Linked DNA regions of Drosophila melanogaster. The protein of the gene in region 2 interacts with the protein of the main gene of each other region in a pairwise test. Each region holds a gene or a part of one and is shown on either strand. Other genes may lie near its edges.

Region 1 (17,032 bases), on a different chromosome or scaffold from region 2:
GACGATCACTGAGCCAGTTCCTCTCAAAGGGCAACTCACGCCATTGGAAGGAGGTGTTGGAGGAGTTTACAGGCGAAACGGAAATGGACCCAGCCGCTCTGCTGGAGTACTTTGAACCGCTCTACCAGTGGCTTAAGCAGGAAAATAGCCGCTTGGGTGTGCCATTGGGCTGGGGACCAACAGACAGTGAGTAATTGAATTTAAACAGTAACTGCTAACTATAATTTACTGTATCCCTTTGCAGAAATCCCATCTGATTGCTGTGGAACGTTTAGCACCTAGACTGAGCCATCCCAAACTTGACTTGAGGTTATTAGAACCCGAAAACAAATATATTGGTTTAGTCTGTCATTAGGAACAAACAAAATAAACTTGATAAGAACGATAATTAATTCACAGCATATGCGCATTGATATTTAAATTGATATTTATTGTATCGATTCATTCGTATCGTTTCGTTTCGTTTTATTAATAAATTGCCATTACATAATACACTTTTTAACGATATCTCACCCACCAACTTTCGTCATAAACAAAATTGTATAAATTATAGCCTTTCGTGAATTGTGTTTCTATCTCAACCACAAAGTTGTATATGTTTCGGTCAGTGTAAATTTTCGATATCTTGCTTGCCTTTTTGTACACAGCAAAAGCGCTCAAAAGTTCATCTCAAATTTATTTGATGCTTCTAACCGTATGCTACTTTGAATAACTCGAATAAAATATGATCTTTAATGGAAGCTGTTGTTGTATACAACACAAAAAGTATAGAATACAATACACTATAAAAAATTATAGGTTACCAAACAGTTCTAAAGGTCTTGCTAAAACGGAAATCAAGTCATGACTTCTAAAATTTTCTGACCATCGAAAATGATAAGCTATTGCTTTCAAGAAAATGTATTTGTTAACTGGTTAACCTTACATTAAATCCTTATAGGTCATATTCCAGCCGAGATATTCAAAGCTTGATCAGTGATTACATTTTGCGACTTGTGCTGCAGTATATTTATGATTTCTGCTTGTATATCGATGCTTTTGTGATCTGGTTGGTATCAAATTTCCGCACATTTTGATTTGTAGTCTCTGTTGGAGGAGTGTGTATATGATAACGAAATAAAGAACAGTCAAATATGATCGTGTGGATTTTAATTCCAATCGTTTAACTTCATAGGGTGATTTAATTTTAGTAGATTATAAGGAATTTGTTTTGAGAAATAAAACAATCTAAGAACTAACAATAAATATTGGAAATTGTATCATTTTTGATTAGGTAATATATGTAAATCTGTTTTCATTTCGCAATCTCCCGCTTTATGCTTGTGATATGGGAGATACCGATGGTATCTACTGCATTTTCATCAATGTAACTGTTACTTGGTAAAAATTGTATATGTATTTAGAATATAAATATTATATGCAATGCGTTCCACATTTACAAGGCAGTTATCCATGATTGCGGAGTAAGATTTTTGAACAAATTGGAAAAATATACAACCGAAACTAGTTTAAAATGGTTTTCTGCTTCGCGGAACATGCAACTGACTTATAGATCTGAAACGCACTGCACAACTGCTCGGGGGATTTGCTCCAATACTTGAGCTTTACATATATATGCCTAGTTTTTTTTGTTGTTGTATTTTTAATGATAGGATTATTGGACTAACAGTAAGATCAGCTAGATTTTGCTTTTGAGATGCAGATACATGTTCGTAATATATAATTTTCCAATCGATACGCCATTACGAAACTAAGTCTTAACAGGGCTATAAAATCAATCCAGATATTCATATGTATAGGCCAAGAGTTTAGTTTTGGTTAGTGCTACATGAGTTGGAACAATTTGATTTAGTTTTTGTTGTTGGATAGTATGCATTCTAACAAAACATTTCAGAGTCAACGCAAATAATATAACTAGATCTATGAATTCGATGCGGAATTTCAAGCATTTTAGATTTATGTTTATACAATTTGAGTAATACATAGATGCATATAAGGATCTTATCCTTTACTACTTAGCGATTATTATTGAATACAAATTTTTTGTGTTTATTATTTAATATTAAACGTGAAAAGTGGTACGCTTACATTCAAAGACATTTTCATCGTTTTGCAAAAAACATTTATAAACCGTTCATATGTTTCGAGATTCAATATCAAGAACGAGGGACCATGGCAAGCTTTATGAGTTGATAGTTGAGTTGATAGAGTGAGTGTTGTGTGTGTGGGATCTTTCTGCACTTGAATTTGAATTGACTCTTGAAGAAATGTCGTCTAATTGACCCTTTCCGAAGTGTTGGCAGCGGCTGCTATGTAAATCTGCTTATGTTCTTGAACTTGGCTTAGTCCAAGAACGGGTTTTGTCATACAGGTCGCGAATGGTGGGTATGTTGGGGATGTTGGTGTGAATGTGGATGCGGCTGGGTGACACTGCTGATGCTGTGGTTACTGCTGCTGGTGCTCGCTCCGCCTCCACCACCGCCGCCCGCCTTTTGCCTTGTGGGTGGCGGCGGTGGCGGTGCCTGTCTCATGCGCTGCTGCAGGATGCGCGGCAACTGTGGATGCGCCTTGTGCTGAGCTGGTGGTGCGGGTGGTGGCGCTGGCCTCTGATGGTAGTGGTTAGCCGATTGCGACTGTTGCTGTTGTTGCTGCTGCACTTGTTGGTGCTTCCCCATCGAGGAGGCAGCGGATGAGGAGCCAGAGGCTCCTGATGTGGAGCTAGTTGAGGCGTGGGAAGTGGTCGAGCCAGTGGCCAGTTTTGTGGGCAGTCCTCCGCTGGCTGCCGGCGAGGCCATGGCCCTGGAATTCACAACTCCCGCACTCCCAGCTCCGGCAGTATCTGTCATCTTAGGCAAGGCTACTGGCGCATAGGAGCCATCGTCCTCTTCGTCGGAGCTCAAGGAATTCGCATCCGATGGAGTACGGGACCTCGAGGGCGGCGACAGTGCGTCCTGCTCTTGCAGGAACACACGGAATCCCTGTATCGACTCGTTTAGCGCCCACAGCTGGGACAGCAGCGACAGATCCAACTGCCTCAGACCGTACATCTCCCGTCGCAGAATGGCCAACTGGTTGTCGATGGTCGACGAGGTGGCTCCAGTGCTGCTCGAGCTGTTAGTGGGTGTGTGAACAGCCCCAGCGCTGTGGGTGCTGGAAGCGCGACTGTGCACAGATTCCCGATCACTGAGCGACTCCTGCGTGGACGAAAGACTACCGTGCCGCTGGCTGTGTCCGTGTCCATTGTAGCTACGATTTCGTGATGCCGCCGACGAGGAGGTGGAGGGGCCCAGGTATAGTTCTCCGGCGGCTACGGTCAGTGCGTTAACACTGGACGCCGGCGAGGCTGTGCGGGGATGGGGGCCAATGGCCACAGGAGCCGCCGTAGCGGCGCTCAGACTTTTTGGCAGTGGCGGCAGACCCGTCAAGTGCGGCTGGGCATCGTTGCTGCTGTTCTCCATCATTTGATAAAGCTTACTATGTCTCTACGGTTTCTTCTTACTGCTGATCCTGATCCTCACGGGTATTTAGTAACTAGAACTATAACGCGGGCTTCTTAATGCACGTTGAACTTCCAGCTCTGGCGGCACATGGGGCACTGTTTGTTCAACGGTTGCAGGTTCAGCCACTTGACGATGCAGTGCATGTGGAAGCAATGAGAGCATACACCCCACACCAGCGGGCAGTCGTCACCGGGCAGAGCGCACTCCGGGCAGGTGCTCTCGAAGGACATGCGACAGATACCGCAGTTCTCGTCATTCGCTATCCAACGCCAAGTTGCAACTCCCGTCCATGACTTGATTGTCACTTTCATTTTGCGCACATTTGTCTCACACGGCAATTGTCTGGTTTGTCGCCGCTTTGCGTTGCACGGAATACGGCTCCTTTGGCCAATGAAGCGGGTGTTTTTCGACCGTTTCCGAATGTTTTTTGCAAAATATTGCCTTTTTTCTTTAGTTAGGCTGCTGAAAATAGGTCGATAGGTCCGATTATCGATTGGCCGATTGGACTTAGAGATGGACGCTGTGTAGATGGAGTTAAGCCGTCGGACAAGCAGTGCGACTTGGGATGACCTGTTATAGTAAACGATATATTTTTATTTATTGTATATTAGTATAGTATTGATTATTGAATATTGTAACAAAGTACATTTGATGTGTTCTTAGTGATATTTATTGATCATAGACATGGGCATTTGTAAGCAGTTCATAGAGCTATCGATTTTATATATACATCTACCGTACTTTAAAAAGATATCGATCCTTGGCGGGAGTATTCAACTTTGGTTTGTTTATAAGAAATCATAGATAAAGTACTATTTGAAACAATCAGGTGAATTAAAAACCTTTCTGCTATAGTTAAAATAAGTCATTCCTTGTCGGATAAGTAATAGTTGAACAGTAGTATTTTCAATATCAAGGCCACGTTCTCGAAGCCGCTGGGCCATCAATTACAATTTTCGGCAATGACAGGTCGGAACCCAGGTCAGATCTTTAATCAGCAATGCGAGCGAATCGTGTCTGAAACAACTTCCGAAAGCTTATGCTCATGCTCCATCGGATTGGACGAGGCTTTAGGGGGGTGCTGCCTTGTGTTGTTTTGTTGTCGGGGGCTGATGGAGTTGTTGTCTCCGGTTTATTCGCATTCAGTTAGCCGACGATTGTTGAACCCGACAGACGTGCGCGCAGCTCGATCGATCGATCGTCGAGCTTTACCCGTTTTTCCCACTGTGTTTTTTCGACAATTTCGCGTGCAAAGCGTGATCATTATTGCTCAAAAATTGCTTTTGTGTTTTGTCCAAGTGTGACGCAGTTTTTAGCAAAGGTTCTGTGGAACTGCGAACGAGATCAGCATATAATAAAAAAAACCCTTGTGAGTGAAAAGAAAGTGCCTGCGAAACGGAGTTGATTTAGAGTTGTGTACTAATCGAAAGGTGCCGCTGCGAAGTGAACGATCTTGTGAGAGTGAAATTAAATCAAAACACAAAAAGTGAAGTTCAACAGCAGAGCGTTGTTTAAGAACCTGTAATTGAAAACGCACTTGAATACACACACCCATACAGGCAAGAATAATATTAAAAATAAGCCCAATAATGCGCCATACAACACGTTGTTGACCCTGAGCCAGAGCCTCGTGATTTTCCAAGAACAAGTAAACACCCCTCACAACCCACCTATACAAAAAAAAAAACCACTCGATGATAGCAATTATTTAGCATAAGAATTTATGTTGCAGTTTATTGAACTCTTTGTGCCGCCTGTTTCTGGAAAAAACCGTTTGCGCCTTGCAGGGAGATTCTGCTACTTGACTTGGTGTTCCGGTTTTTGGTCACGCCCGGGATTTTCTCGAATTCTGCGAATCACTTACATACAGTGTACCAATAAGGCATCCATAAAAAACATGATGTGTTTGTTTGTGAACATCAGTTTTCATTGCAATTGCAATGCGAAATTTCAAATCGATATTTGCGATTTATTTCACTTTGAATTGGCTTGCCTTGTCATGTGCCTCGTCCATAAAATGTGGCTAATAAACAAACAATTATGAAATGACGGATTTTTTAAACTCTTTAGCGCCTTAGATACGAGTCCAAATAAACAATTTGCAACCAGACAACACTTTGAAGCTGTGAATTTGGTTATGACTCATCGAATTATGGCTATTGGTGCTCGCATGCTTAATCCTAAACTAGATTGACTCATAATGTTAAAAAAAAGTGATTAATAACGTTAAGAGATAAACACTTTTGAAATACTAACTATGTTCAGAAACTACCAAGTTTATTTAGTCGACCCAACTGTTTCTGTTTATCATGCCTTTCGACACAAATTTGATTGATTGTATATATCCCCACGATTAGTTTTTGGTCGTTAACATTTCCGAACTCTTCCTTTCGTCATGTCATATCTAATCTAGAATCGTAGACAACCGAAAAATTGTTGTTATCGTGCTAAAGCCATACGCTTCAAAATTAAAGTTAGTCAAAAGACTTTCGAAATCGGGCGTTGCATTTGCCTTGCAAACGGTGTGGTGAGGACAAGCTGCATTATCGTCAGACGAAATAGAAATAAGTGCTATAATATAGCTTTAGTACCCGCGCTATATGGTCGTGAACAATCAAGTGATTACTGATAAAAATTGAAGCAAATGGGTTGACAAACAAAATACTTGTCAGGCAGATTTGGACGAGATAAGTGTGTATACATATGTATGTATATACGATTACTCGCAGTGTATTTTAAGGAAGCATCTTGGAGGATGAACGTGCTCTGAGTGAATGATTCAAGTAAAAATTACTTATGAGACACCTGTGACTCACACACCTGAGAAAACAGACAGTGATACAAAATCGCGGAACTGAAAAGATCACAATGGAATCGAGGATCGCCTACATAAATTGCATTCATTCATAAAAAAGTACGATTTAATCGTTCTAGCCGCAGCATTTAGAAGGGGAATGTAATGTCATGAGATTCTGAATTCTAGAGAAACAGATTCAGATTCACGTAGAGTATTTCCCGTTTACGCTGGAATTACTTTTATATTCAGGGTCTTTTCGATCCACTCAATTAATGGGCAAACAATTAAGGGAACCTTTGCTGTTAATTGCAGCTATTATCTCTGTGAATAAGAAACCAAAAAACATTTTGTTTTAGTGTATTAATTGATTACGGTAAACGTTGTGGAGCAACAAGGTGAAGTTTATTTCTCAATGGGAAATTTGTGGCACTATCTTAAAATCATTTTCATACTTATGCCTTAAAAGTATTTAAAAGATTTAATTTAAGATTTAATACCCTTTAACAATCCTTGATTTTGCATTATCAATTATTGATGTTTATTGAGCTGACTTATTTTTAAAATTTAATTCCGGTTTCATTCATTAAATAAAGGTGTGTTGAGAATAACTTCAGAACTTCCCTTTTTGAATTATCAGGTAGCTTAATGGAAAGTATATTTTGATTTCCAAGTGAATGTTATGAATAATCGATTTCTTGCTCGTTCATTTAAAAGTTATTAATGCTAACAAAATGGCTATTAAGGCAGCAAGTCCAGCCGACGACAGACACGAATCGAAAATATTTGTGCGGTCCATTACGCTTGAGTTTGAGTTACTAATTCATAAGATAAACAAAGATCAACGCGCGTGCTCCAAAAACTAAAAGATATAAAAAAAAACACTCGAGAATCGATCTGCAGTTGCGAAAACGACAGGGTGCGGAAAGTTTTCGGTTGCCAAGTGAAACTCGACGGCAATGCAGGTCCAACTCGATCGGAATACAAGTCAGTCTCTGATGTCTGATGCCTGTCAAAGCCTAAAAACTGAAACGAGGCCAATGCACGCCACTTGTCGTCTGGGGTTTTTAGTTTGCCATGAACCGATCGGAGCACTATATACATATATATATGTATATAACATACACATGTTCATAACCAAGTTGCAAGTCGGGCTGCGGTTAATGACACCTGGGTTCGATCTTTCTGGGCAGTTATAGAGACTGATTCCGAGATGCCCGTTGCGTGTGAATGATTTTATTTGACGGGTTATTGTAATTTACACTTCAGACTTAATCCAAAAATCAACAGCAAACAACCATCTGTTGATTTTCGAAGCCGGAAAATGCGTATCCAAAATGAGGGGAATTGAACCCAAGCATCGTAAATCAGATTGAGATATTAATACCCAAAAGGTGATAATAAAAGTTTCCAAAATTCTCACAAATACTTCTTAAAAACTTGTAAGAGCATTAGAAATGTTAAGTTACTCAGGAATTTTCTATACCCATATATGTTATCATTCATTATTTACTTAAATGTAGATACATATGTGCATTTTTAGCCTCGCAATATTTCGAACAATGCCAAGCTCAATTAAATGAAGTGGGAACTCGATTTGAATTTCTACTTAGCAAACACACGATAGAAATGGAATAATGAATAATATAATAGATCATGTTGATAAAAATACTCGTTTCTCTCCTGCAATGCAAAAAAAAAAACAGAGAAATAAGCCAACTTTTTTACGCTTTTAAACTTTTCGGTGATTTTCCAGTGAGAGATTCTAGATAATGTTCATTTCGTCGTTTATTATATTATATATGGGCGTGTACATATATATTTTTTACTGCCACAAAACTCGTTTGGTTGTCGTAAAATCTTTTATGTGGTTAAAGAGAGGGAAAGGGATGACCGACAGGCGTATTAAAAGTTAATTAAGTAAAGTGCATAAAGCGCAATCTTTCAAAAAGAAACCGCTGAGCTATAGCTCAATAGTTTAATCCAAAGCCTAGGAATGATTTCCATCTGAATTGTGGAAATGGGTTATGCATATGAATTTCAGTTTCGTTTTTATTGTAATTTTGTTTGAAAGAATTCACCGCATTGCATGCATCGCTCGAGTGACTCGCGAAATTATACATTGTAATCCGATTGTTATTGTTCGCATTTCAGTTTTGGTGCTGAATTTGTTTTTCACTCTGTGCGGAAGTATTCGATCGCAAATTTTTTACCTGTGGCATGCGATATTTTTCTGTCAAATTACCAAAACAATTCAATTTCGACCCAGTTCAAAGGTCAGGTTAAAAGAAAATTAAAGAACTACAAATCCACAAAATGCTGTTTGCTTTGTCAGGTTTGCTTAACGAGATATTAATCGCAAACTTTTCACAGCCCATTAAAAAGACAGAGACAACTTAAATGATTTTCGCTGAATGCTTTTAAATTGTTTACCCCAATTAATGACTCGGAAAAGGGTTGGTATATGGCAAGTGGAAGCTGACTAAGTGGCTAAGCTTTTATCCACAAATTATGATTTTTTCACTTTGCTTTAGCAAAAGTTGTTTGACTTGTTTCAAGGTAATTCACATTTATGTCAAGTTAATTTATAATTACAGTTAAGTTTTAATTTATAGAGATTTTAAGTAAGAACACTTTATGCAGAAACTAAAAATAGCATAAAAGTGAGTTCGAAAAAATTGAAGTTTTGAAATTGTAAGGCAGAACTAAATTGGTTATAATACACTTTCTAGTGAAAAAGTTGTCATAAAAAGAAAAATTTTATATGGAATCACTGTTGCTTCTGAAATCCCATTAGCTTACCTAATTCCAATATTTCTCCAACCCCCCTCGTGGTGTGTTGTATAACGCATAACGCCATTCGAGTTGGAATGAGTTTCACGCATAAAACGTGTAGACATCAACAAATTGCATTACACGGCTTAAAGTAACAGTGACAACGAAAAGGTAGCAACAAAATGAGTGCTATTCATTTCAGCGCAGCTGATTGACATTCAATTACCAATGGCCCCACCCCCAACCCCTTTCACGTCATCGTAGCAAGTTTAATGAGTGTTGAGCGCTTTTCAATTCAACTGTCGTCGAATGCTTCGAATGCTATGAATGCTACGAATATATCTACGGCTTTATCAAAAGACAAACAATTGATCGATTGTCGCAGCTGGGTCTCACATGATCATGATTCGCTGTGGTCTATGAACTCAGGAGAAGCTAACACACGAATGTTTAAATTTCTTCTTTTTTCGGTGTTAAACATATCTTTACAACCGGCAAACAATTGTCTTGGTTCTTGACACCTTAAAGTCAAATCAAATCGGGGAGTTAACTTATCTGCATTCAGAGATTAGGTTCGTAGAATGAACTTGGAGATAAACCAAAAAAGAGGTTTGAGCAACAAAACATTGTTAAGCTGGCGCAATGAAAGTAGTCATTTACGAATTAACTAGTAATAATAAACGCATTCGTCTGCACTTGATCACTTGGTCTCACGGCTCAGTTTGTTGAACTCTGTTTAGGGAGTTGTCCTTTATCAGCTCGTTTGAATTCAATTAGCAATCTTTTGATAAGAACTTACAAAACTGAATTAGTAATCTATTGATATGAGTTTACAAAACTGAATTTGCAATCTATTGATAAGATTGTAAGGAAGAGAAAACGCTGATAGCAAAGAGGCGAAGCTTGTGAGTAAAGGAGATTTTTCATCAGCCCAAAAGTATGCTTATTGGCGAACCTTGGGTGGATTCCACGCCTCCCACCACTCAACGCACTCACCTGTGCAGAGAATGTGGCCTCAATTTGCAGAAACGCTTATCGTTCAAAGCGTTAAGTAAACGCAGGCAGGCAAACACGAGTACATGTGTAGCGAGGTTATCTTCGTGTGTGCACGGTGCAAGTTTAAAAAGTTTCAATTACTCCACCAACACACGCCCACCACTCACACACACACACGCGACAGAAGTGCAAGGCTTGAGCAGGTGTCACAATACTGCAACAAGTTACAGTGGGACAAGAGTAGGCCACATTGAACTACATTAGTCCATGCTTATTATATATTTTCTATCATATTGTTTTCTTCATTTACATTATTAAAATTAACACTGTCTATAAACTGCGCGTTAAGCTCCTTGAATGTCTGCGAAATAATGCGAACGGAATTTAAGCTGAACGGTATAGAATGAGATAACGGTTGCTCATAAATTATAAAATATTCTTGCAATTTTAATCTGATAATGTTGTGGACGCGCCTCTCGCCACCTGACCCACGGTGCACAAGAGAGCGCGTAAAGAGAGAGTTGGCGCTGTTTAATGGGGAGAGCAAAAGAGCGCCTAAAATAGTTAAAAATTGTCGCAAAATCATCACTCTCTGGCAGTAATCTATCATGCGCGATCGATCAATGGCTCTCTAAAAATGTCTCTGCCCCAGCCCACCACCCCCTGCCATAGCTCCACTTCCAGAGAGATGAGTTCATAAAGTGGGTGAAAGAGAGCGTTCTCCAGTAGCTCCTCTCAAACGTACTCACTTTTATCACACACACGTACACTCAAAAAATGTCCATGGAAAAATTATTCTCAGTAAAAAATTATAAATTAAATATTTCTTTACATGATATTATTTAACAAATATTTAAACGAATCGAGACATATTAAAAAAATAGCCGGGAATTGGTTATGGTTTTACAAGGTAAACGTGTCGTATGAGCAATATTTTGGTGCAACGACGCTATTGAACTACGCTTCAATTCAAATAAATAAATTCGTTTTTCTAAAAACATAAAACAAAATATTTGAGTGTTTTGTTAAAAAATATTTTAATATATTCATAAGAACATATTGTTATTTTAAAATACGGTTTCGAAAATCAAAAACCAATTTCTTGAAATTCAGTAGCGTGTTTCCCTCAGTGTAGAGTGGAGAGCGGGTGGAGAGCGCCATCAGAGCGCGATTTGGGGCCACTTCATGTGCCGATAAAAGCTGTCTTCACACGCTCACCGCTCGCCACTGAAAAAAAATTTCTGGAACGAGTCACACGCACCGCACGTTCCTCCGCAGAAAGGCAATAAAAACAATAACAACATAACTCGTCCTCGTCGAACAAATCCGAATTTAATTTATTATTCCCAAACAGAAATCATAAATTAATCAAAGCATTGTTACAACACAACAACGATTTTCGGACTCGGATTCTCTTCATTTTTTATTCGAGCGGAGAGTAAATAAAGTCAAGAAAACAAGAGGAAGAGGAAGAGCGGTAGGGAGCCAACAACAAAATGTGCCGCTGCTGTCAAAAGTGAGTAAACGCTACGAATTTCCCCCTACCCCACCACGCTTGACAACTTGCTCCGCATTCGAGCCAACAATTCACCTGGCTAACACACATTCCGAATTGCCTTTTCTTTATCCATTTCCATTTGTAGCTGCTGGGAAGATTTCTACTGGAATTGCTTCGAGGAGCGTTTCTGCTACGACGAATCCATCGGTAAGTTTTTGAGCTTTTTTGATTTGGGCAGTTGACGGATACGGATACTCTGGTTACGGTTACCTGAAAATGAGTACGAGTACGAGTACTTCGGCTACTGCCACTCAAATACTCACTCTCTTCGCACGCCTCACACACACACACATACAAGAAACTAATAAGATCTTGAAACGCACAATGCTACGGCGATTTTTGCGCGATTTAACGTGTTTGGCATTTGAAATCGAGTACGAGTCGTAAAAGGAAAAAATAAAACACAAGCTGATAAATCAGTTTTATGGCACTTTTGCCAAACTTGCATATAGAGTATCTTAAAAAGTTGCGCTTAAGTAAGCTGCGACAAGTTTTGTTTACATAAATGCTTGCATGTATAGAAAGGCAAAATAGTTTTATTATTTTATATAAAAAAATGAATAATAATAAGTACTTAAAAGAATTTAACGATAGAATATTCCAGAGGTAGAGTTGGGCTTATAGCTTAGATCAAATTCGTTTCTGTAGAAGACTCACATTTTGTTTGAAAATGAAATTCAAGGAGAGAAGACTCGGAAGTTTCTGGAATAAATTTGTTTATAAGATTACGGTTTTTTCATTTACTAATTTCTGCTCTTTCTTTGCCTCTCAGCCAACTACAATCCCGAGGAGGACGAGGACTACTTGGCGTCCAGGAAAAATGGCCAGATCATTGGACGCATACAACCGACATCGGTGGATAATAATAATTCGCTGACGGTGCCCCAACCGATTTGCGATCAGCCGCAAATGAGGCAGGGCAACTCGAGCTTGGGCCTGAGCCTAATGAGGTACTAATAGATAGATCAAATCCCAATCCAGAGATCGCATTTCGCACTTTGTTTGGTTGGCTGGCGATTAGCGATTAATTGGCATGCTCGTGTTGGCTTACTGTTGGCCATATCAATTGACATTATAACCAATATCTGTTTTCTTTGTGGCCCTTTTAGCGCCAAGATCCACGAGGAGGACTATCGTCGGGAGACACAGATCAATGTGCCCAACCTGGGACCGGAGATACTGGCGGTTTTTGCCAATTCGCAAATCTTCCAGGACCATCAGCCCACCAAGCTGAACCGGATCAGCACCAAGACCTATCTGGCCGGAATCCATTCGCCGAATCGCGAAATGCCGACAACTCCGCGGCTCAGCGATCAGGATCGATTGCTGCGACGTCTGGAAGGTAATGATGGCCCCAGTGGTGCACACACCCCACTTTTGGGTGGTGCTGCTAATGGTAAAAGCAGCGGCAAGAGCACCCGCAGCAGCAGCATCGTATCCAGCGGTGTGCCCAAGGTCAAGTTCTATCTGAACTGAACATCGATGGGTTTTGGGGTTCAATGGGTACTAGCAGTATTTGTGCCAAAGATTGAGGAACTCTCGCAATGCGGATATAATCAATTGGAGAGTGACCAATATCGCCAAAATGTGACTTAATATTATTAACTAATTAGCTGTAAGTGTTGCTACACAATATTCGATAGAGACAGCAATGCCAGTGCGACTGGCATTTAGTATTATCTATACTCCTAAGTAGCCTAATTTAAGTTAGCTTAAACGTTTACCATTTAAGTCTTAATTGTTGGACCTTGTAATTGTTTAGTCCTAAGCGACAAAGAGCAAACAGTATGATTTTCATAAAGTTTTTAAACAAAATTTTCGCTTGGTTTTCACTTTTACGCTCCACATATTTTATATATATTTAGGTGCTATTTAAATTGACTGACTACTGACTTCATCTTTACGTAAAAGTTCTGATTAATACAACATCGTCGTGCCTTTAAATCGCGCCTACCATCATTTTAGCAAATTGTTTTGTGCACTTTGAACAATTGCTTTGTTTGTCAAGTTGGCATTACTCAACAGCTTTTACTAATTGCATGGGACTGGGATCGCTTAGTCAAACATATTCACATTCTAAGCGTTCAGTTTTTCGATAGATTTCTCAGAAGTGGTTGAAATGATTTCACTGAGAATCTACGAAAATCAAATAAAGTCTTGGCTTATTAAAAAGGGAATCTAAAAAATGCATAAGCAATATATGAACAAATTTCGAAGACGATATGAAAAGCAAATTTCACATTTGCTCAAACAATTATTACAAATTTTTGCAATCCAAATTTTTCCGCAGGCTTGACTCACAATCCATTAACCCCATTTGGCTTAAAAAAAAAAGAAATTCATTCATTCGAAGTTCGAACCTCCAAACGAGGAAGAGCGGAAAAGAACAAATCTGGATCCGAGTCCAAATTTAATTAACAATTTTATTTCTCAATGACGCAGACAGCACCTTAAGGTACTGGTTTCATCTGGAGTTATATATAAAAAAAAGAAACATATTTTGCGGCACGTCACACATTTGTTATCACAATTGGAAGCAGAGATAAAACCATTGGCAATTGGAGATGATTTAATGGGCTATTAGGCCTGCGCCACTGATTTATCGCAATATTCGCAAATGGTTAATCACAGCGACCGACTTATGCCACCAAGCCCATTCCATCAGCAAAACGAACCAAACGTAATTAGTCAAATATTCGATTTTCTTATCGAGACCATATAAAAGAGTGTTAACAGCAAATAAACACCCATGCAATATGAATATTTCTGCCCATTTATGTATTTTGTCAAAAATACACGTATAGGTAATTTTTTTTATAGATAAGAAACTCGAGCTGGTAATCAGTTTTTGCATGCTAACAATCGATTCCTCCTTAGCTGATAAAAATAAAGAAATCGTCAAATTTGTAGAACTTTAGAGCTGTCATTTCATTCTATAGAACACATTTAAAAACTCCAAGCAAAAATGATAACATATAGATATCATCTTCACTTGTTTTAGGTTAATTGAAAAATAATCAATACATCAGTATATCTATAGAAAATAAATTCCGTCTTCATATTATGCATGTTAAATATACAATTATATATTGATCTTTTCAATTAAAAATATTTAAACAGCAGGTGTTGTATGTATCGATATTTAACAAATCGCGTTTAATTGATTGTATGTTCGAATAATCTCAGGTTTCATTTCGAAATAAAACGAAACAATAACAGCGATCAGTAAACAATAAATAGCCCAGTTTCAGTTGTCAATTAAGTTTTATGCACGGTACTATTTTCATTTTTATTTATACTTGTAAATTATATTGTTATACATACGTGTGTATGAGATATCTTAATTACATTCACGTAGTCATCACGTTCTCTTGCTAATGTCGGATGACTTTTCCGATTCGCCAGTCAATGGCTCCTATACAGTTTATAGCTGTTTTGTTTTAAGTATTTCCACATCTACATCATATTATTTCGTCAGAACCCTATACCTTATACCTTATAAAGCTGACGTTTATTGTCGGGGGTCTTGACGATACTTAAATCATACGTCATATTGTATTGTTTAACACATTTTGCTTTCTCAAAACAAAATCTAAGTAGTTACCGATTAAGAATTATTAGGCAGTAAATTAAATGATTTCATAAGTATCTATACATATTTTTACATAACAGAATTAGTATAATCTTTAACTGCAGCTAAATTTTATCCTACTTTTAAGTTTCATTTCACAAATAAACTATCAAAGCGACTTTACTAAGTATGTACATATTTGAAAATGACTTGCCTTGAAAGCGCAATGTTGTTATCCAAATAAAGAAACAAAATTTTATTGCAATTATATACTAAAATATTGACTGAATCAGAATGAATACTATAAAAAATAATACTGATAAGGTACGACTCATTTGATGCTTAAATGCATCTTACCCAATTGCTTGGGTATTTGTTGTCAAATGAAATTAAATTTATAAATCTTAAGAGTACAGAAATATTAAGTCAAAAGAAGGCAAGACTAATAATCTATTAAATTTACTATAAAACTTAACTAGTAAGTTCCGCCTCTAAAATTTCCATTTTAGCCAAAGTCGAGGGCTAGTTATTATCTGCACATATCTTTCCTATCTGCCATGAACTCAACCGTTATCTTGTTTGCCAACCTTTTATGCGTCTTACAATGGCATCTACTTTTCCAACTCTTCCAAAGATAATATTGTCCTCTCTGGCAGCTGGCTAATTAGGGTACAATGAAATCAGGACAATATCTCTAAATAATATGGGTTTAGTTACTTGCAAATGCAGAACACTTTTTAAACGGAGTATATCTTCTTTTTGCAGGAGATGCCACTGATGCGAGAACAGGATCGACCGAGAAGCGAATCACCTTCACCCTGGCTCCCAGTTCGGCCGAATGCTCGCCGTCGGGTAGCCAAACGACACTTACTCCCAAAAAGTTCGAGGCCATTGCCGAGGAGGAGAAGGAGGACGACAAGGCCGATGAGGAGGAGGAGATCATGGAGGAGGTGGTGCTGCGACCTCGCCTCATCGACCGGCATCCTCATCTGCTGGCCAACCCCAGTGGACTGACGACCACGCCCAAACGGATCCTGCGATCCGCCAAGAGCGTTCCGCACATGAATGTCCGTTCGTCGGCCAGTGAGACGGATATATTCTCCATTAGCGGTACGATGACCGGAAGCAGTCAGATCAGCATGACGCCGGAGGTGCCATCGATATCGTTCAGTAATCTGCCTAAGAACTACGAGGACACGCCCACTATTGAGAAGTACCGGGTATCGCAGAGTCTCTATTCCATTCAAACGGCGAATGCTGCTCGGGCCACACAGGATGATTACTCCATGCCGCGCTACTTCCGTCGATCTGCCATGCTATTGACCCAGAGCTCTGAGGTGCTGCCCGGCGCCAGTTCACTGGCCTCCATGTCGCCATCGATGGCCTCGTCCTCTGCCTCGCCCGGGTCCTCCAAGGACGAACTGCGACGGCCAGAGAAGGAGAAGAGCAAACGACTCCAGATGCTGCGTGGCAATCTACCGCCCTTACTTATTCATTCCGTGTCCTTCAAACGAAATCGCGACGAGGGCAAGCAGGTTGACTAGTCGCACTGCAGATATACATATTTATTTGTTAATCACTTTGTCCATGTTTTTAATGTTTTAAATTTATTAGCCTTTAGTACCTGCTTATGCGTTTTCTGTATTATCTTCTAAGCAATGACCTTGTCCAAACAATTCCTCAGTATTCAGATGTACTTCATTTTGAATTAATGATTGATATTACAAAATAAATTGTATTTTACCACAAAAAACAGCGATTAAAGATCCTACTTAATAAATCTTTATAAAAATCTAAACGATATCTATTTGTACCATTTTAAAAGAAATAAATGCGAG
Region 2 (6,399 bases):
GACGCCTTGCGGCGTTGCGTACCGTCCTCGTGCTACTTCTTTATTGACCTGCATCCGCACCACGGCTTTAAGGATACCGCGGAGGATTGCCCTACTAGTCAAGCCTCCAGTGACCGGAATAACAACGCTGGCTGTTCGCAAGGATCGGCTGCCAAGAGCTCCTGGCAGCGGCAGCGTAGTATTTCCGAGTGCAGTGAGGACAGCTTCATTTGCTTTGAGGACGACGCAGAGCAGGCGGATGAGGATGTCGAGGAAGACGAGGATGATGATGACGACGACAGCAGCGTGCAGTTTACAGCATGCGGTGAGGATGAAAATACCGAGGAGCTAAAGGCCTGCCAGTGCAGCGACGACAGCTCGACTCCTGTCAAGAAGGTGAAGAATATTTTTGCGCGGCATAAGTGGGCATATCTAATTTCCTATTTATGCGCACAGGTTCGTTTCAACATGAAACCCGAAGTTCACGTAATGCTCGCCTGGGACTACGCTTATCGGGCTGCCAGAAAGAGCGAATGGCAGGTAATGGCGCGAGATCGGGATCGCTTTCAGCAGCGGATTCGGCGGATTTCACCCATTCTCAATGCCGTCCTGACTCCAGTTCACCGAGATCGTGTCTACCAAGCTCGATTCTTGCACGAGGACTAGCTGGTCCGCATACCTGAAGTAACTTTTGATGTACAGATTACAGTTTAGAACGATTACAGCATTAAATTCCAAGTTGTTTGCGTGTATAAAGTGATCGATTTAGCCACTGCGTTCGTGATTGATTTTATGAAGCCAAAAACTGTTTAACCTGTAAAGTATATCAAAACCACGTACACTTTTCTTCGCCTTTAGTTTTAGAGCCCTAAGAAGTTTGAATTTGTTGATAACGGGATTAGCATATACCTTAATATAACTTGAAATAAATTAAGCAATAGACGTATTTTACTGTGTGTTCTTCTTTTCACATAAGATTGCTTGCATTGTGTTCCAAATTCCCAAGCCAAACAAGTTTGGGTAAAGACTTTGTGTGTACGTGGGTGAGAGATAAGCTCTGAATAGAAACAGATAAGACGGCAGTTTGAAAAAATAGGTACGTTTAACATGGAGCAGTAAATTTCATAAATGTTATCGCGTTAATTCATTATTTATTTCATGATTCCTTCAGTCGTTTGCAACTTGGTTTTGGATCTCCGAAACTTATTTGGCCAATTGGTAAACTCCACCCGAGAATATTAGCTTGTGCTCCCTGACTTTTCGCTGGAGAAAGTGTTTCAGCTCATCCTGAGTAAACTCCACTCCGCCGCTGTGGGAGGCGAACAGCTTCAGCATCTGGTGGATTCGGTCAATTGGCATGGAGTCAAGATTCGTGAGCATTCCAACAATATAGGACCAAAAAACCTGCGGCATAATTGTATAAGAAAAAGCCGGAATTAGGAACAGTTGAAGGCACTTACTTGGAGTTCTTCTTCCCTTTGATCGCTGGCAGAAGCCATTGCGGATTCCAAATCCTCTTCGTCAGCTTCTGCCAGACTCATGTCCTCGTACTGAGACTTCTCCGATTCCTTTTCCAGCAGCGTGAATATTCCGGGTGTCGTTTCCGAGATCAATCCGTGGTTTTGCCAAAAACTCAGACGACGCCGCAGTGCAGACGCTGGAACTTTCGTAATGGAACTAAGATCCTCGATAGTCCATTCATCTGAAAAAAAAATATGACCATGCGGTTGTAAAACTGTAAAACTTGACTGCCCTGTAAACACGTACTCTTAGTTTGAAAGTGGTATATAATAACCGCCAAAATGGGGCTCACAACCATTTCCATGGTCCGGTCACCGATCTCGATTTCAATATTTACACGGCCAGTCACTGTACGCCAGTTGAGCGTACGGTTGCCCTTGTATGCCTCGTAGGCCTTGGTGTACTTCTTGAACTCATTCTCAATCTCCTCAGGAAGTTGGAGGCTTTCTTTATTGAAGGACGGCCAAAACTGAGCAGAAACAATCAGCGAGGAGATGTCGAACAACTGATCTAAAATGAGATGGTTTCGTTAAAGCATTTTGAAAATTAAAAGTAACTCACTTTCAGTTCGGTCGCCATCGCTGTGGATGTGCGCGTTAATTCGCTTGGAGTCGGTTACGTCTTTCAACATCACCTCGCAGCTGTGCAGCAGCGATTCGCCAAAGCGGATTTTCAGCAGTTCCAGATTTCGAATTTCTTTTTCGGAATTAAAATCTAACTGGGCCAGCAGTCTGTCCGCCATTAGATTGCGATACTCTGTCATAAACAACTCCTTACTGCCGTATATGTCTACAACCATCGATATAATGTCGGCCGATCTCATCTTCCGCGAGCTGTTGTACTGCATAATGCTGGCATCTATACCAAACGGATCGGGTTGCCAATTTTCCCAGTTGCTGAACTCATCGGTACCCGAGTCCTTGCATTCCTTAATTGTTTCTCCCTTGGCGAGTTCCTCGGATAAGTCCGTGGGCCCCTCTTCAGTCAACCCAGTGACTACGCGTCGCACTGTGTCGTTTCGTTTCCGCAGGTAATCTTTGATTGGAGCAGTTACCATCTCTAAGATGACTCCGGTACTATCCAGATGGCGAATAGCTTTGATGGCTGCCACGTAACCCGTTAATATGTCCATGGTGTTGACTCCAGGATGCAGAATCCTTGCCTCTAGCGAGTTCCTAAGGGATTCAGTGAGGTAGACTCGCATATCTATTTTCTCCATGCAAATCTTTAAGTCATCTATAGCCGGAATGGAATCGGGATAGTCTGTTTACAAATAAATACATGTAGTTGGGGGACTCTTGGCTGAATCTACGGGCACATACCAATTATAATGCTGAAGAACTGACCAATAACGCTTTGGGCAAACGTTTCGTACATAAAGTAAGTCAGTTTGACTTTGAAGGATTTTACAGACTCGGGAACTTCGATATCGCTTATGCTATCCTTAGACTTCCATTCCGTGAATATGTTTGTGAGCCAGGACATTATGACATCCGATAGCCACTGCAAAGGTAGGTAATAAATGAGTTACTTAAGTAGTTTATTTATGACAACAGAAGGTATTCCCATTCAACTTACAGTTTCCAGTTGCTTAAGATGACTTCTGTCGAAGATTCCCATGCATGTATCGCTGATGTGCTCCTTGATTTTAAGCTTGATGAGAGCGGTTAAAGCACTCCCAGTTAGACGGTCAATGAGGTTCATCTCGAAGAGCTTCATGTTTGTCTTGTTAACCATATCCGTCAGCCTTTGGCAGCAGCATTGCTCTGCTTCGAAGTTGCAGCCAACGCAGAGGAGCTCATCGAAAACATCAGAGTCTGAAGGGGAAAGCAAGTGAGCATGGGAACCACAGGAGTATGTATCGGATACATACCAACTGTGGTCAATGCGAGATTTGAGGCCTTGGTGAAGAGCTTAAAGTGCACCCAGTAGAAGGCCCCAACGACCACACTGAAATTGGGTGGCAGTTGAGCCAGCAAGCAGTCCCTTAAGCAGTTCTTAATGCCTTCCTCCTGCATGAGCTTCACCGTCTTTGCGGTGGGCTTTGTCTCAGCTCCAACTAGCTGGATCAGCCTGGGCTTCACCTGCATCAGGCTCTGAAAGCTGTCATGCAGCTCATTGATGGCGTCGATGAACTGGGTGAACAGTCCGTTCTTATCGGGCAGTGCTTCTATGGCCAGAGCTTGGTCGTTAATCCAGCCCTGCAATTTAGACGAGACCAAGCCGTCGTGGATGTGCTTCCAGAACTTGGGCACCAGGACATTCCGAATAGTCGACTGGATTTCCAGGTCCACAACCGCCGCGAAGGTGTCTATGCTGCCCAACACCATCAGGTGCTGGCGAACATTTTGGAATACATTCTCCTCAACCGGATCATTGGATACAGCGTTCTGTAAGAGTTTCTGAGTGCTAGCGCCAATCCCTATTACTGAACCGAAGGAATAAACCTACCGCTCCACCCAAAACCGGAAAGATTCTCAGTACATCCGCCCACAAAGCGTCAAAGTCGCACATCGCTTGTGTGTAATTATTTTAAACAGTGCAAAACATTGCTTGAAACTCTGAATCAAACGCCAATGGTGATGATAATGCTGTTATCGATAAGTCGATTCTATCAACCGAACCGATAGTCGATGAATCTTTGATTTATCAGAAATTATACATATATCTATTATTCATTCTTATAGGCCATTATTAATCATATTCCAAATTTCAAACTGGATCGAGTCCTGATCCTGATGAACTATCAGTTCCCCATCAATTAGCCCATAAATATAAATAACAGTTTTACTAAAATAAATTATATTAATAGATACGGGGAGCTTAGTAGCCAGAAAATAAGAAACAGCAAGAGTTTCAGAAATACAGATGTATGTCTTCACGTTCCGGCAAACACAAACAGTTAGAGCTAAAATTAAATTGCATACGACTTATTTACATACATACATACAAATTGAGATTTGAGAGCCGGCGCTGATCTTGCATAGGAATATAGTTAGATTGCGAATTTATTTAATTTTATTGTACTGTGTGCGTCACCCGACACACGCCCGTGTGGTAGCCAATATCGATTGGATGCGGATGCCAATGGCTAGCGACTTAAGGAGTAAGGAGTAACTATGAAACTATCGTATCTTCAAATGCGTCTGCTGATGCTTTTTCAAGTGGTCGCTCCGCACAAACCGGCGACAGCACTGCTGACAGGCGTAGGGCTTCTCCCCGGTGTGCGTTCGTATGTGTCGGTTGAGGTCGTCCTGCCGCTTGAACCGCTTCTCACACTGCCGGCAGTAGAAAGGCCGATCCTGAACGAACTGGGGCATCCCATACGTGCCGGGTCCGTCCGCCGGCGGTAGCTGAGAGAGGGTATTTACAATTTCTTCGGTCGGTTCGTATTTTACCTCGGGCTTCGCCTGGTTAAGGAAATCGGGCAACTGGCTCTGGTTGTGGCCATGGTTATCCATCTGGTGTTCAGGAGATACGATCTGGTACTTGTCGCTGTGCTCCGGCCGTTCCAGCTTAATCTTTATCGGCTTGTGGTGGATGTCGATAATGCTCACGGGCTGCTGGTGCTGGTTATGCTGCTGCTGCTGGTGGTGGTGCTTCATGCTCGGCTCCCCGCAACCAACCATGGCGGCCATGAAGTGGAAGCCCGAGTCCGACTCCGAATGAATCTGCTTCTTCGGGGGCTTGAGCCGGACTCCACCACTGCTGCTCGGTACTGTTCGCTTCGGGGTGCTGCCCTTTAGCTGGCGGTCGTGGGTAGCTAGGTGCTTGGTGAGGTGGTCGCTGCGGGAAAACTTCTTGGTGCACTGGATGCACTCGAAGGGCTTCTCGCCGGTGTGCGTCCGGAGGTGCCGGTTGAGCTCATCGGAGCGCGTGAATCCCTTGCCGCACTTGGGCTCGCTGCAGACGAAGGGCTTGATGCCCGTGTGCCAGGTGAGGTGGGACCGCAGGTGGGAGCTCTTGCCGTAGCTCTTTGTACAGTTGTCATACGGGCAGACGAACTTGCGCTTGGGATCGGAGGCGAGCGTCGTGGCCATTAGCTTCACACTGGGCATTATGCGGATCTTAGAGTTGCCGTTCCCGCCGTAGTGCGAGTCGTCCTCAGGCTCAGTCTCAACTCCGTGATGGGGCACATTCTCCACATTCGCCTCGTCGTGCTTGACGTCCTCGAAAATCGTCGAGGCCCGCAGTATCATATCGGACGCCTGCTCGTGTATGTTTGCGCCGCTCATCGTGGGAAACGCTGGTGGTGGTTTCATGGGTTCTATGGGCGTTGATGTCGTCAGCATTTGGGGTGTGGGCGTGTTTGGTATTACTTGTGACATTGTGCTTACGTTTGGGGCTCGCTAGCGCCCTATCCGGTATGTCTGGAATCGAGAGTGGAGGTACTTTACTGCCAGCTGCGCGCCTACCGCTCCCTAATTACCAAAATTGCGTTTATCCAAAACTACACTCCTGTACAGGAAACTGTGTTCAGTGGGCGTCGGCCTAGGATTTATCAGTTCTGTGGTCCCTTGTCACCATAGCCAGCTCGGAAAACGGTCTATAGTCGGTCCTGGCGTCCCGCACACATTTTCCAATTGTTTTCGGCTAGCGCGCTTGCATATTCCAGCGGATTTGCTTATTTTACTTTATTTTATTTATATACTGAAGTATATCCATTTAATTGCGATGAGAATTATCGACTAGTCGATAGGACCAAGAGATGCGACTGAATGCGTGTACGGAGATATCGGATTTCAATGTTGTATTTATTGATTGCTATTAGTTTAGCACAGTTAAATATCTAAAACTAAATGTGTAGTTAACATTAAGAAATCAATATAAAGCGCAATGGAATTACATTTTGTTTGATAGATCATAAAACTATTCATCGTTTCTTTTTTTTTTCAAAAA

The links.
Region 1: the proteins of mr (region 2) and lmgA interact in a two-hybrid assay, tested with the Drosophila melanogaster proteins (2 studies listed by BioGRID).

What each region holds. Positions count from the first base shown.
Region 1 is NT_033779.5:8,524,499-8,541,530, forward strand, and holds lmgA (lemming A), read right to left. Parts: upstream 4,008-17,032; 5' UTR 3,812-4,007; coding exon 3,554-3,811; 3' UTR 3,462-3,553; coding exon of another isoform or gene 2,364-3,461; 3' UTR 501-2,363; downstream 1-500. Other genes in the region: Acer (Angiotensin-converting enzyme-related), read left to right, coding at 1-186, 245-282; lmgB (lemming B), read right to left, coding at 2,364-3,461; CG17834 (uncharacterized protein), read left to right, coding at 11,562-11,581, 11,709-11,770, 12,396-12,573, 12,733-12,965, 15,960-16,738.
Region 2 is NT_033778.4:23,970,124-23,976,522, reverse strand, and holds mr (morula), read right to left. Parts: upstream 4,093-6,399; 5' UTR 4,015-4,092; coding exon 3,952-4,014; intron 3,891-3,951; coding exon 3,374-3,890; intron 3,318-3,373; coding exon 3,079-3,317; intron 3,004-3,078; coding exon 2,823-3,003; intron 2,764-2,822; coding exon 2,062-2,763; intron 2,011-2,061; coding exon 1,747-2,010; intron 1,682-1,746; coding exon 1,440-1,681; intron 1,384-1,439; coding exon 1,183-1,383; 3' UTR 1,115-1,182; downstream 1-1,114. Other genes in the region: PPP1R15 (protein phosphatase 1 regulatory subunit 15), read left to right, coding at 1-375, 436-645; CG3065 (uncharacterized protein), read right to left, coding at 4,626-5,828.